2 linked regions of the Drosophila melanogaster genome follow. The protein of the gene in region 2 purifies or fractionates together with the protein of the main gene of each other region. This does not show direct contact. Each region holds a gene or a part of one and is shown on either strand. Other genes may lie near its edges. The genes, in order: dia and Apc.

Region 1 (8,200 bases), on a different chromosome or scaffold from region 2:
GAGTAAATCGAACCGCTTGTGCTTAGAATTTGTTTTTTCGCAATTAACGGCCGTGAAGAGCCAGCGATCTGCATGCCAAGTGTCCAATAACTAGGCAGAACAGTGTTTGCGTTGCACAAAAGCCCGCTAGCGGAGTGTGTTCCATGTGTCATTCCCGGCAAAGGAGCAACAAGTGGCCGAAAGTGGAAAGCAAGAGCAACAACTAAATAAGTAAGGAGTACCACACTGCAAGAAAAAGTGTTCGGAGGGAACGGTGTGCACAGCTTGTCAGCTTGTTTTTTGTACAGAGCGTCGCGCAATAAAACAAACAAAAAGACATAGTCCAAAAACAACAACCACAACAAAAGCCGTTTGATCGCGAGTTTGTGTGCGTGTGCGAGTGTGGCTCTATTTGTGTGAGAGTGGCAAGCCATTATTTTTCTGGTCTTATGACGTAAACCACCGAAAAAAATCAAAAGTGAGCAGGCGACACAGATATCAAAACGAAGGTGAGCGCATTCTTACCAATTCTCGTTTCGTTTCTTGGAATTCCAGCGGTTATTAGACGGTTTTATACTTGTTTACATTTTCGCAGTTGCAGCACACAACTAATGCCAGAGCGGGAGCGAGAAAGACATATGTAGATCGTTCTGTGGAAGGAGTGTTGGTCGCGGAGGGTTGTGTTGTGATGTTGTGGAGGGGAGGGAAAGAGATGCAGTGCATGTAAACAAAATAGAGAAAGAGGCAATTGCAGTAAATTCTTTGGCAAAAGAAATCTTGTTGAAAGCATTTCCTCCGCAGATGCTTATGTGTACTGGCGACCTGAAAAGAAATTGTTGCCCTGCTTGAACTTGTCGCTCCACTCTCCACTACCCACCTCCTCGCCCCCTCCCTCGCACACTCCTCTGCCCACACACACACACACACACAACACTCCATTCACAATTGGCCTTTTGCGGAGTCATATATTAAATTTGATTTCTCTAGCCGAGCACTGTGAATGATTTGCCGCCAGTTGGCACGCCCGTTCGCCACACTGCAGAAAATACCAGGGCACATATATATCTATATCTATATATCTATTAAATTTATCCTTGCATGCCAAATATTGAAACGCAGCACTTTATAGCTCTCTTAGCTTAAAATGTAAATTTTACTCAATTTAAGAGCACTAATAACGAACGTTTATTTCATTTCCTAATCAAATCTTACAGTTTAAGTACTTTGTTTTCCGTGTAGCGAGCCAGAACCATCCGCAAAACCTGTTGCTCGTTTGCCTTTTTATTGGATTTTCTGTTTTCTACCTCTGCTGCTCAGCTGCTGCGATTCCGATTTCATTAGTGATTCATTAGATGCGTTGGACAAGCTAACGCAAAAAGCCAAAGCTTGTTCCCAACGCATCCTTCAATACAAGGCAATTCAAATGTTCAAACGCTAACGGCCAGCCTCTCAGCCTGGTCAAATGAATCACTCCATATTCTCCACATATTCTAACCAATTTCTCTCGTGTTTTGTTTGGCTCTCAGTTTTGCGCTGTGAATAACGTGCTATTTCCTATTTTGGCTGGCCGCGATTATCGCATCGTTTTGTAAATTTAGTGCGCATTATTAATGAATTTGTCCAATTTGCTGCGGTATACTTTTATCGTTTTTGTTTATAATTATAATCAGTCGTTTTCACGCGGTGAGAGTTTTGGATAGCACAGTGGTCGGATTCTAATTTGGAAAATGGTTAAGCTTGAGAGTGTTTTAATCTGTAATATAAACTTATTGTACAAACCTAATTATAAATTGATCATTTTTGAGCTTACCAGTAATATTCACACAGTATTAAAATTATAATTCCTATTAGATTTCCACCCTTAAAAAATTTTAAATGAAAGCCAACTCTCATGTGTTAATGTTCTTAAGCATGTAAAAGGAAAACAGCACCCTTTCCAAGTCGAAGAACCACTGTAATGGGCCTCGTTCCCTCAAAATACGTACATATGTACGTGTTAATTGAAAATTCCACACTCCGTTGAGGCTGAATCGACATTACGGCACCCCAGATAATTGTAAATAAACCCAAGCTGATAATGATCGACCACCTCCCAGCCATCCGTCCATCGATTGGATGCATTCGCTGGGAAGCCATCAGAAACCGCGGTCTGTGCGCTGCTCTCGAACACTTGTAAACAAGGAACAGCTGTGCAAGTTGTCTCCCCCAAAATATTGAAGACTGCGCAGGCCCCAAAAATCGTTGTTTGGTCTTTGTTTAGTTTTCGCCTAGCTATCCAACGAAATGCGCCTCAAAAAGCTGGGGTTAGACTTGAAATCTTTTGCATAGTTTATGAAATCGAACCCAATATTTCTGTTCTGTTCTTTGCAGAATGTCTCGTCACGAGAAAACGAAATCCACGGGCGGCGGGCTCCTGGACAGTCTGTTCGGAAGACCCTCGAAGTCCAAGGGAGGAACCATCAGCAGTGGCACCCTGGCCCATGGCGGACGACCCGTGTCCGCGGACAACTATGTGGTGCCGGGCGTGGAGGACTTTGAGCAGTACATCCAGCAGCTAAGCGTTGCGGAGCTGGATGCGAAGTTTCTGGAGATCATCGAGGACATGAACATTCCGAAGGACAAGAGGGAGCCCCTGTTGGCCAAATCGAAGGAGGAGCGACAGAAGATGATTATGTGGCACTTGAAAGGTAAAGAACATGGTGCAAGTACACGTTTTCAAACAGAAAACCGCATTTGTGTTTGAAGATTGAGTATCGTTTGGCTAAGAACTATAGTTCTGGAATAGAAAGTCTAAGAATAATCTACATACATATACGAATAATCTAAACTCGTCTGAACCGTAATGTTCCAAGCAACTTTGAAAGGCCAACCGGATTGGCAAAACTTTAACACCCTTTCCCTTTGCAAGGGTATACAAACAGCAGACCATCGATTTTCGTGCAACTGGGTGACTCTGCCTTCTACTTTTTTTTTTTGCTTTTGTTGTGCTGCGGAATATTGCATTCCACTTGTGATAAGATAAGCAGGTAACGGAACTCGTGTCCGTGTGCTTTCCCCGTTTCGCTGTGTGCGTGACACTGCAAATTTCGCTTTCTGATTGCTTAGCGCCTTCTTAGCTGCCAATTTGCTCTGTGGCCAGGTTCTGTTCTATATTTCTGGCCAATTCCTAAACCGATTGAAGTGATGTCAACGATCCTTTGGATAAGTAAGCTCATAACATACATAAGTCTCTAAATGGTTTCCACTTCAATTAGTCAAGAGGTGATTACTTTGTTTGTTAACTACATATACTTGCTTAACTCTACTTCAATTTTGAGAATACTTTATTTCTAGAATTATTATAACGATATTATGTGCATCGCAGCGCGGTAATGATTCAGCTGGAATCTTCCCTTGTGTTTGCTTCATTCATATCCAGCGAGATTAGTACGGTGTACTCTACTGTACTACAGTGATACTACCAATTATCACTGTAGCACATCGCCAGCTGTATCTTGAGCACATTTCAATGCCAGCTCAGCTTTCAGCTTCAGCTTCGTTCTTTGGGTCTCGCTCCAGTTAGTTCACCATGGCCATGGTCCATTATCAGTCTTGCGGAGTGTGGAATCAAAGTTCCCTTATCGTTTGTAACGCCTAATTGCGCCACAGCCGCGGACTATCTGCTTGCCCATTTTATCAAGTAATACCAAGTGCTATATTATACATAGTATGTATGTAAGTGGTACGCGGCGAATGCGTGACAAAGTCGAGCGGCAAAAAATGAAAATGCAAAGACATTGAATTTCCACCACCGTGCACATTATACAATTTAAATTACGTCAAGTGGCAGTGAGAAAATGAAATGATTCTTTTATTTCGCGCTTAGGTCTTTTTGTTGTATAAGCAAGTGCATCGTGAAGGCGAGAGAGAGATGTACTATGTACACTGAAAGTATTTTTACTAAACATCATATATAAATATAGCTAATGATTATAACCTACTATTTATAAATCTCAATGGCCTTGTTATTGAATATAAATTTAATATTTCAAATTTTAATTCAAATTTCCTGTACCGACGAGGCTTAGTTCTCAGTGTAGCAGAGGCAGAGGGTGATTTTCCTTACACTTTGGAACGGCCATAAAATGCAAATATGCGAAAACATTAAACACATTATGACAAAATCGAGCTGAAAATAAATTGTGATGCCTGTCAGTAAACTTGAGCTGCGGCACAATCGTATCTCATAGGTGCAGATAGCTGCGAGTGAGAGGTAAAAGCGACTGAAGTAAGTATTTGTGGGTCGTGTTTATTGTGGCAGAACCCACTTGTTGCGAAATTAAATTTAAAACACAAACAATGGACTGGCCGACAACAAAAAAGGCTCGCACAAAAAGCTGTTCATTAACACGCTTCGCTTGCCGTTTTGAGTTAATTAATAAAACAGTTAGCGTAGTTTTGCTTTGACGGATAAACGTATAAGTGGTGGGCAGGTTTTGGCCAATTTGAGTGATGTCAGTGGTGCAGGTCAATCAGAAAAAGGGGTGGGTGGTCGCACCGAAGGCCTCCCTTCCAAAGGTGGGACATGATGATAGCCTTTTAACTACCCCTATCTCTCACAGTTTTAGGGCAAAGTTATCACATAAAGCTGTGCAGCAACTATTTAGAACCTCCAAAGTGTAATCATTGAGCCACCTATATAGAATATGTATCATCCTTTATCATGAAATTTACAAACTTCAAGTTGGAAAATCTGGAGTGATGGCAAATAAACTTAAAAACACATTTGCGTATTATAATGTGTTGATATGTGTATAATGTTACACCTTTGTTTAACATAACTTGTTAACGATTATATTCCAGATTAGAGCTTAAGTGGTAATTTCTCGTTAATTAAATGGTTTTCTTATCAAATTGCCATTGTACGTTTGTGGGAAAGTATTCCGATTTAGCAGACTAATGATAGGGTAGAGTGAATCATCGCTGATATGACTAAATTCAGGTGTGTTGTCGGTGGGAGGCAAACCTCTTTCTTTCAAAATATAAGCCTTGAGCTATTTTGGAATGAACCCGTATACTTTTTATCATCGAAACAGCACAAACGTGAGTTGAATGGCAAAATGTACTTTAATTTACTATTGTGCCAACTTTTAATTTATGTCAAAAGTGTAACAAATCAAAATGTCCAATATTAGCCATAATTATCAATTGCTTAAGTTACGAACTGATCGGATTAGATATTAATAGGTGTTTATAGAACCATATTCCTATGTCTACTATGTAAAATACCGCTGACCACTAAATAGCTTTACAGAAATTCAATACGTGCGCTCATCCGACTCCAACTCCAATTTCTCTTCCAGGTAAAAACTCACTGGAGCGTAGCGCCAACTCCCGCTTCGAGAAGCCCATAGACTATGTGGAATACCTGCAGAATGGGGAGCACAGCACGCACAAGGTGTACCAATGTGTGGAATCTCTGCGCGTGGCGCTCACCAGCAATCCGATCTCGTGGATCAAGGAGTTTGGAGTGGCGGGCATCGGGACGATTGAGAAGCTGCTGGCCCGGTCAAAGAATAATGCCAGCTACGAGAAGATCGAGTTCGAGGCGATTCGGTGCCTGAAGGCGATCATGAACAACACATGGGGTCTGAACGTGGTGCTCAATCCGGATCAGCATAGTGTGGTGCTGCTGCTGGCGCAATCCCTGGATCCCCGGAAGCCGCAGACGATGTGTGAAGCCCTCAAGCTGCTGGCCTCGTTCTGCATTGTCTATGAGCGGAATGGCTACGAGAAGGTTCTCCGAGCCATAACCACTATTGCAGCCACATCCTTTAAAGCGAGCGAGCGCTTTCGACCCATAGTGGATGCCTTGTTTGCATCGGATCAGCAGGATCCCAAACGGGACTTGGCATGCCACAGCCTGATTTTTATTAATACTCTCACCAATACCCCCACGGATTTGAACTTCCGCCTGCACTTGCGATGTGAGATTATGCGCATGGGTCTATACGATCGCCTAGATGAGTTCACCAAAATCGTGGAGGCCAGCAATAATGAGAACCTGCAGCAGCACTTCAAGATCTTCAACGAGATCCGCGAGGATGACTTCGAGGAGTTTGTGCAGCGCTTCGATAATGTCACCTTCAACATGGACGACGCCACCGATTGCTTCGATGTGCTGAAGAACCTGGTGACTGACACCACTTCCGAGCCCTACTTCCTGTCCATCCTGCAGCATTTGCTGTACATCAGGGATGACTTCTACTTCCGACCTGCCTATTATCAGCTGATTGAGGAGTGCATCTCACAAATCGTCTTCCACAAGGGTTACTGTGATCCGAATTTCGAGAACCGGAACTTTAATATAGACACCTCGCTACTGCTGGACGACATTGTGGAGAAGGCCAAGGCCAAGGAGTCGAAGCGGTCGGAGGAGTACGAGAAGAAGATCGAGCAGCTGGAGAGTGCCAAGCAAGAGGCGGAAGCGAAGGCGGCTCATCTGGAGGAGAAAGTCAAGTTGATGGAGGCTAATGGTGTGGCGGCTCCGTCGCCCAATAAGCTACCCAAGGTAAACATACCCATGCCACCGCCACCACCAGGAGGAGGAGGAGCACCTCCCCCACCGCCGCCACCTATGCCGGGACGAGCAGGTGGTGGACCTCCGCCTCCACCACCACCTCCCATGCCGGGAAGGGCAGGTGGACCGCCACCACCTCCTCCACCGCCCGGAATGGGAGGCCCACCGCCTCCACCCATGCCTGGCATGATGCGCCCAGGAGGGGGACCTCCACCACCGCCCATGATGATGGGGCCCATGGTTCCCGTTCTGCCTCATGGCTTAAAACCGAAGAAGAAGTGGGACGTCAAGAATCCCATGAAGCGGGCCAACTGGAAAGCCATTGTCCCGGCCAAAATGTCCGACAAGGCATTCTGGGTCAAGTGCCAGGAGGATAAGCTGGCCCAGGATGACTTCCTCGCAGAACTGGCCGTGAAATTCTCTTCTAAACCTGTAAAGAAAGAACAGAAGGATGCGGTGGACAAGCCAACGACGCTGACAAAGAAAAATGTCGATCTTCGTGTGCTCGACTCGAAGACTGCTCAGAACTTGGCTATTATGTTGGGAGGATCGCTGAAGCATCTGTCCTACGAACAGATCAAGATCTGCTTGCTGCGCTGCGACACCGACATCCTGTCCTCCAATATCCTGCAGCAACTTATCCAGTACCTTCCGCCGCCAGAGCACCTCAAGCGTTTGCAGGAGATCAAGGCAAAGGGCGAACCGCTACCGCCGATTGAACAGTTTGCAGCCACAATAGGTAAGGCGAATGGAGTTTGTAGTGCAGAAGGCGCAGAATAACTTTACTTAATTTCAGGGGAAATTAAACGCCTTTCGCCGCGACTTCACAACCTGAACTTCAAGCTGACCTACGCGGACATGGTGCAGGATATCAAACCCGACATTGTGGCAGGAACGGCAGCATGCGAAGAGATCCGGAATAGCAAAAAGTTCTCAAAGATCTTGGAGCTGATTCTGCTGCTTGGAAATTACATGAACTCGGGCTCCAAAAACGAGGCCGCCTTTGGCTTTGAGATCAGTTATTTAACCAAACTGTCCAATACGAAGGATGCGGATAATAAGCAGACATTGCTGCACTACCTGGCTGACCTGGTGGAAAAGAAATTCCCAGATGCACTAAACTTCTACGACGATCTGTCGCATGTTAATAAAGCGTCGCGGGTCAACATGGATGCCATCCAAAAGGCCATGCGGCAAATGAATTCGGCGGTTAAGAACCTGGAAACTGATCTCCAGAACAACAAGGTGCCGCAGTGTGATGATGACAAGTTTAGCGAGGTGATGGGCAAGTTTGCCGAGGAGTGCAGACAACAAGTGGACGTGCTGGGTAAGATTATCTCATCTGATCGGAACGAATATTACATGAGCAAAATCGAATTCTCTAACATCTCGTTTTAATTTCAGGCAAAATGCAGCTGCAAATGGAGAAGCTGTACAAGGACCTCAGCGAGTACTATGCCTTCGATCCCAGCAAATACACAATGGAGGAGTTCTTTGCGGACATCAAGACTTTCAAGGATGCCTTCCAAGCGGCCCACAACGACAATGTCCGGGTACGCGAGGAGCTGGAGAAGAAGCGTCGTCTGCAGGAGGCCCGAGAGCAGTCTGCTCGAGAGCAACAGGAGCGCCAACAGCGTAAGAAGGCAGTGGTTGACATGGATG
Region 2 (4,812 bases):
CTTTGAGATACACTACACGCTGCATGGAAAGGGGGGGGGGGCGGTGCGGTGAACTGGGGGATGATGATGCTACAAACAGTTTGTGTACAAAAATAAGTAGAAAAGTCGCTTTTCCTCCCCGCTCGGTAACGTGCGGGGGTGGTTGGCATGGTATCCGGCGTTTCGCGGAAAAACGCGTGAATCGCCGCAAAAGGCAGCAATAAAAACAAAGGCCGCGCACGTGACGCCCAGCGGGGGGTGGTGGGTAGCTTGGAAAAGTGGGTGGCACACCGCCTACTCTTATTATTTACTCACCAACTCCGTATTTGTTGTTCGAAGGTATCCACATTTTGTCGCTGCTGCTTCGCTGCAAGTTAAGCCGAAAAAATCCAACTTAGCCGGCCACTCCTTGCATTTATAATTAATCAACGGTTTTTTGAGGAAACACCCTTTTCATCGGCAAATATCTGCATTTGAATTCGCATTTATAACGGCCAATATTTATCAACAATTTTTCGCAATAGCACACATACACACTCGTACACATCTACGCACTCAATAAAACTTTCGCTTTTGTTGTTGTCTATCTCCTTCTCTTTCTCGCACTTTATCTTGTTTAATAACTACAACTACAAGCAGAAAATACACTTGCTACATTGTTGTTGTCGCTGGAAGGCAACGATCGCGGTTCCAATTGGCAATGATTACCGCTAGGTGGAAGAAAAGGAAGTGGCTGATTGGGAAGTCTGGAAGTGGTGGCTTTGCTTTTGTTGCCTTTTTCACGGACCCGCGCACACACAAACAAGAAAATCAATACGAATTTGGGACTCCCAGCCGAACTTCCAATTGGATTTCTACACTGTGCGCAATTTAAATTGCTTGTCCCTTGGCTTCGCGAATTATTACCGTTGTTTTCTGCTGCACTTGCAACGCGTTTAATTTTCGCTATTTTTTGCGTTTTATTATTTTTCGCGTTCTCCGCTGCGCAGCTTCCCGGGCGCAGCAACAACAAATATCCGTCCGCCGCTCAGCTGTTTGAAGAACAACAACAAAATTCGGGATTCGTCGGCTTATATACGTTGCAGTGTGGCCAGTTGCTAAGCGATGGATTATTTACTATTGCATTTTTGAGGGAATTTTCATTTTAGCGGTGACGGTCACACCGGTATTTATGGTCTAGCTAAGACCCGAACCAATTCGCAGTTACAGTTTTGGAGGCACATTCATTCAATGTATTCAATAATTTAACAAACAAAACAATACCAAATCCGTTTTAATATGCAGTCCATAGCGTTGGTCTGACTCGGCCCCATTAACTCTATCCCATTTTTTTTTAAATTTTTTCTTTTAAATTAACGGTGTACGTATTACTTAACCGAGATATATAATGAATAAAATATAAGCACTAAATCTTTAAGGTTAGAAAATAAATTGCAGTATAAATATATTACGAACGAAGTAAATATTCAAGCGATATATATGATCCCAAGATATCGCTACATTCTCCCATCCCTAGCAGCTATTTCTTGTTGGTTTTTCGAATTCTCGATATAACAGTCACACTGCTCGCCGCGGTTGGTCGCAATTTTTGTTGATAAGCGGACTCGGAATTTCGGCCGCGCTGCGTATTTGTTTTGTCGCGAAACAAGCCAAGAATCCAAATAGTGGCAATATCTGTGGGCAAACAAGTGATAAAGCGGGAAATGTGTCATCTGGTGGGCGAGGAAGCTGCCGAGAAATTGTGTTTTTAGTCAAGGTACGCCAATCGGAGAATCTCTGGGTTCGTGTGTGTGTGGGAGTATAGTCGCTGACTCTTCCAATTGGAATTGTTCTTTTTGGGCCTGACAATAAAACGCAGAATGTTTACTCAATAAATGCGCACCATATACAGCTGGCGAATACAAATGTGTTTAGCTCAACTTGGAGCATGAGATACTCTTTAGTAGTTTCCTGTTCTCCTGCCGATTCCTTTTACAGGAAAAATCAATAAAGGTCCCAATCAGAACGCGACTGCGCCCTAGTGTGGGTGTGCAAAGTGCGTGCATGTGTGTGTCTATGTGTGTGAGTGCTCCTTTATCAGTTGGAAAACGCAGTGTGTTTCGTTTGTTTCGTTGTTGTTGTTTTCGTTTTAGTTTTCCAACAGCTGCAAGTGATTGTGGCACGCCTAATTGATAACTATTTTCGAGCACTTCCATTCAACTTCACCTCAGCATAATTAATCACCGCATTAAGGAAAATACGTTAATATCGGCACGCTCGATTGTCTTACATGCCCACAAACATGGGAGAAAAGGAAAACACAATTCCACACTGCATGCGCTCGTATTTAGTTTCCCTTTTACTTTTCTACAATTTACATAATCATCATCTCGCGGCGGCAAAGACACAAAACAACCGGGCAGCAAAACAAAAGTGGCGTTCATTAAACCAGCTCATAAATGCACACACAGAAATCATAAGTACATACATATGTACATATGTACAGTAGTTAGTATGTAGTTTCATTATTTAATGTTTTTGCGTACATTTCCCTGTGGTTTGATGGCTCGCGGTGTCATCATCTTTACCGCTTTTCCTTCCCCCGCAAATCTTCCATTCTTTTTTCTTTGATAATTCTGCCGCGAATATTTCGTATGCAAAATGTGTGCCAAGCCAAAAAACCGCACAGTGGGTGGGATGGGGCGATGTGGTGGCAAAATTGGTTATTAGCTTAATGGGAATTCACTTATTGGAGAAATATTTTTTATTTTTGCTATTCCCTTCTAATTGTAATTGTAATTGTACCATTTTTAGGGGAGGGTGTGACGAAAACCACCCTTCAGATCATCAATCTGCCAAAAAAAATATTTCCCTCTTTCAAATATTTCAACCTAGTATTCATTTTATCACAACAAATTACACTTTCCAAATTAGGTATTCATATGTCGGTTTAAAATAACTTTTAAGACCTTACCCTCTATAAGGTGATGAAGCTTTATCTTTCAAAATCCAAATCTGATCCACCCATGCTACACAAATGCTTAATTTATATGCATATTACCAAAAATGGAATTGTTCATTCTCATAATTCATTTAATTATGCAAATATTTGGATATACAATTATCAAATAAACACTTTTATTTATTCTTTTACACCTATCAGTTTAAGTAAGTGCTTAGTAAGTCTTACTAAGCAAGTGTTATTCAAGCAATAAGTCACATTTGTTTTTGAAATCTCGTTATCTCTGAAAGAAATAGAAACTGGGTGACTAAAAGTTTGTCAGTCTGATTCACTTTCTATCCGCTAAACTATGGCACTTGTATTTTATTTCAAAGCGTGGGGTTGTTTCTGTTTTCGCTAACTATGCGAACCAATTTAGTTTCCCAATACAGTTGACTCGAAACGCTTGGAGTCGAATTGTGTCCATTGTGCAGGGCTGATTCCCTTGTGCGACTCGCTGGCCGGTTAATGACACGAGGAGTCGTCTCTGGGGGACCGGGTACACGGCTCTTGGCTAGACAAGTGACGCATATTCTCGCATTCTTTGGGGTACTAAAAGTATCTATGTCGTATCTAGATACTTGTGTTTGTCTAATTCGCGGATCGTTGATTCATCGAATCGCTCTACTCTGCTCTGTTCGTCTTTCGAATTCTTGGCCTCGAGAGCACTGATATCGTGACTCTTGCTAAATGTTAATCGGTGGAGCCGAACTGTGTGCCTTATCAAGGCGGTGATAGTGCCGGCTGATCACATATTTTATATATTTGAGGCCTAGGCAAACAATCGATCGGCAATGATGAACGATGGCCACTGTGTCCAGTGCGGCATTCCAATCGAGTGGCTTGGATGGATGGATGCATTTCCGCTGTTACACAAGCGATTTGCATTTCACAGCCACTCAAATTGCGGTTACCACTTTTCGTTCGCCGGCTGTTTTCGCTCTTTACGCTGGTCGCAATTAAAATTTGATTAATTTGCCAATTGGAGCTTGAACAAGTCGACTTGTGCGGAGCCAGAACTGGTACACGACCCGGGTCATTCCCAATCCCAAACTCAATCCACTTGAAGTCTTGAATTGGATTGGGTACACAGTGAAAAAATGCTTGAAAATACAAGGTATCAAATCATTTGTTATATTCCTTTTCATTCGATATCTAAAATTATGCAGTAAATAAATTGTGCCATACTTTAAGACACTTTGTAGATTGATTTAAGAACCCCAAGGATTTATTTGACCCTTGATTAAAGTTGTGTAAATAACTTAATAGTGACCTTACGTTAGTTACGTTATTTTCTCTCTGTGTACATACATATTTATGCACTTCTGTCCGTCCACGCTCAATTTTACGCTACAATAACAGCTGAAAAAAAAGAAGTGCAGCACCAAATTGCATTTGCACATAATTCAACGGTAGCTCAAATGAGAAATATGTCTTGTGCTTATGGAGTGTGTGTAGCAACAACAATGAGAGCCGAGGCAATATAATATATCTGCTGAAAACGCATCTGTATCTTTCTTCATGCACTGGAAATTCCGCAAAGACGACGCCGTGTGCCGCTAACTTTCTAAAAAGATGCAGCGCCAGCTAATCATGATAATGACTTAGCTGCTCATTTGCTATTGTGGCTGCCGCCACCTGAATGTTGGCCGATGATTAAGTTACAGAGCGATAGAGCAGGCAATGCACAGAACCTGCCACAATAGGCGAATTCTTCTGGGATACAACAGCATCCAAGCATCTGCTTAGAAAGTCGATCCTACCGAGCAACCTTATAGATAGATAGGGGTCGGCCAATTAAAAAGTGAAAAGCTATTAAATTGGTTTCCCATTAAGATGAATTTATATATTTC

What was found.
Region 1: the proteins of Apc (region 2) and dia purify together in Drosophila melanogaster (affinity purification with western blotting, with the first as the bait; 2 studies listed by BioGRID). This does not show direct contact.

Annotation. Positions count from the first base shown.
Region 1 is NT_033779.5:20,758,176-20,766,375, forward strand, and holds the start of dia (diaphanous), read left to right. Parts: upstream 1-2,124; 5' UTR 2,125-2,262; coding exon 2,263-2,282; intron 2,283-2,349; coding exon 2,350-2,666; coding exon of another isoform or gene 2,667-2,722; exon of another isoform or gene 2,723-3,966; intron 3,967-5,321; coding exon 5,322-7,277; intron 7,278-7,334; coding exon 7,335-7,865; intron 7,866-7,942; coding exon 7,943-8,200. UniProt on the Drosophila melanogaster protein: Required for cytokinesis in both mitosis and meiosis. Has a role in actin cytoskeleton organization and is essential for many, if not all, actin-mediated events involving membrane invagination.
Region 2 is NT_033777.3:28,841,483-28,846,294, reverse strand, and holds the start of Apc (APC-like), read left to right. Parts: upstream 1-1,546; 5' UTR 1,547-1,735; intron 1,736-4,011; exon of another isoform or gene 4,012-4,076; intron 4,077-4,812. Other genes in the region: spg (sponge), read right to left, coding at 295-328.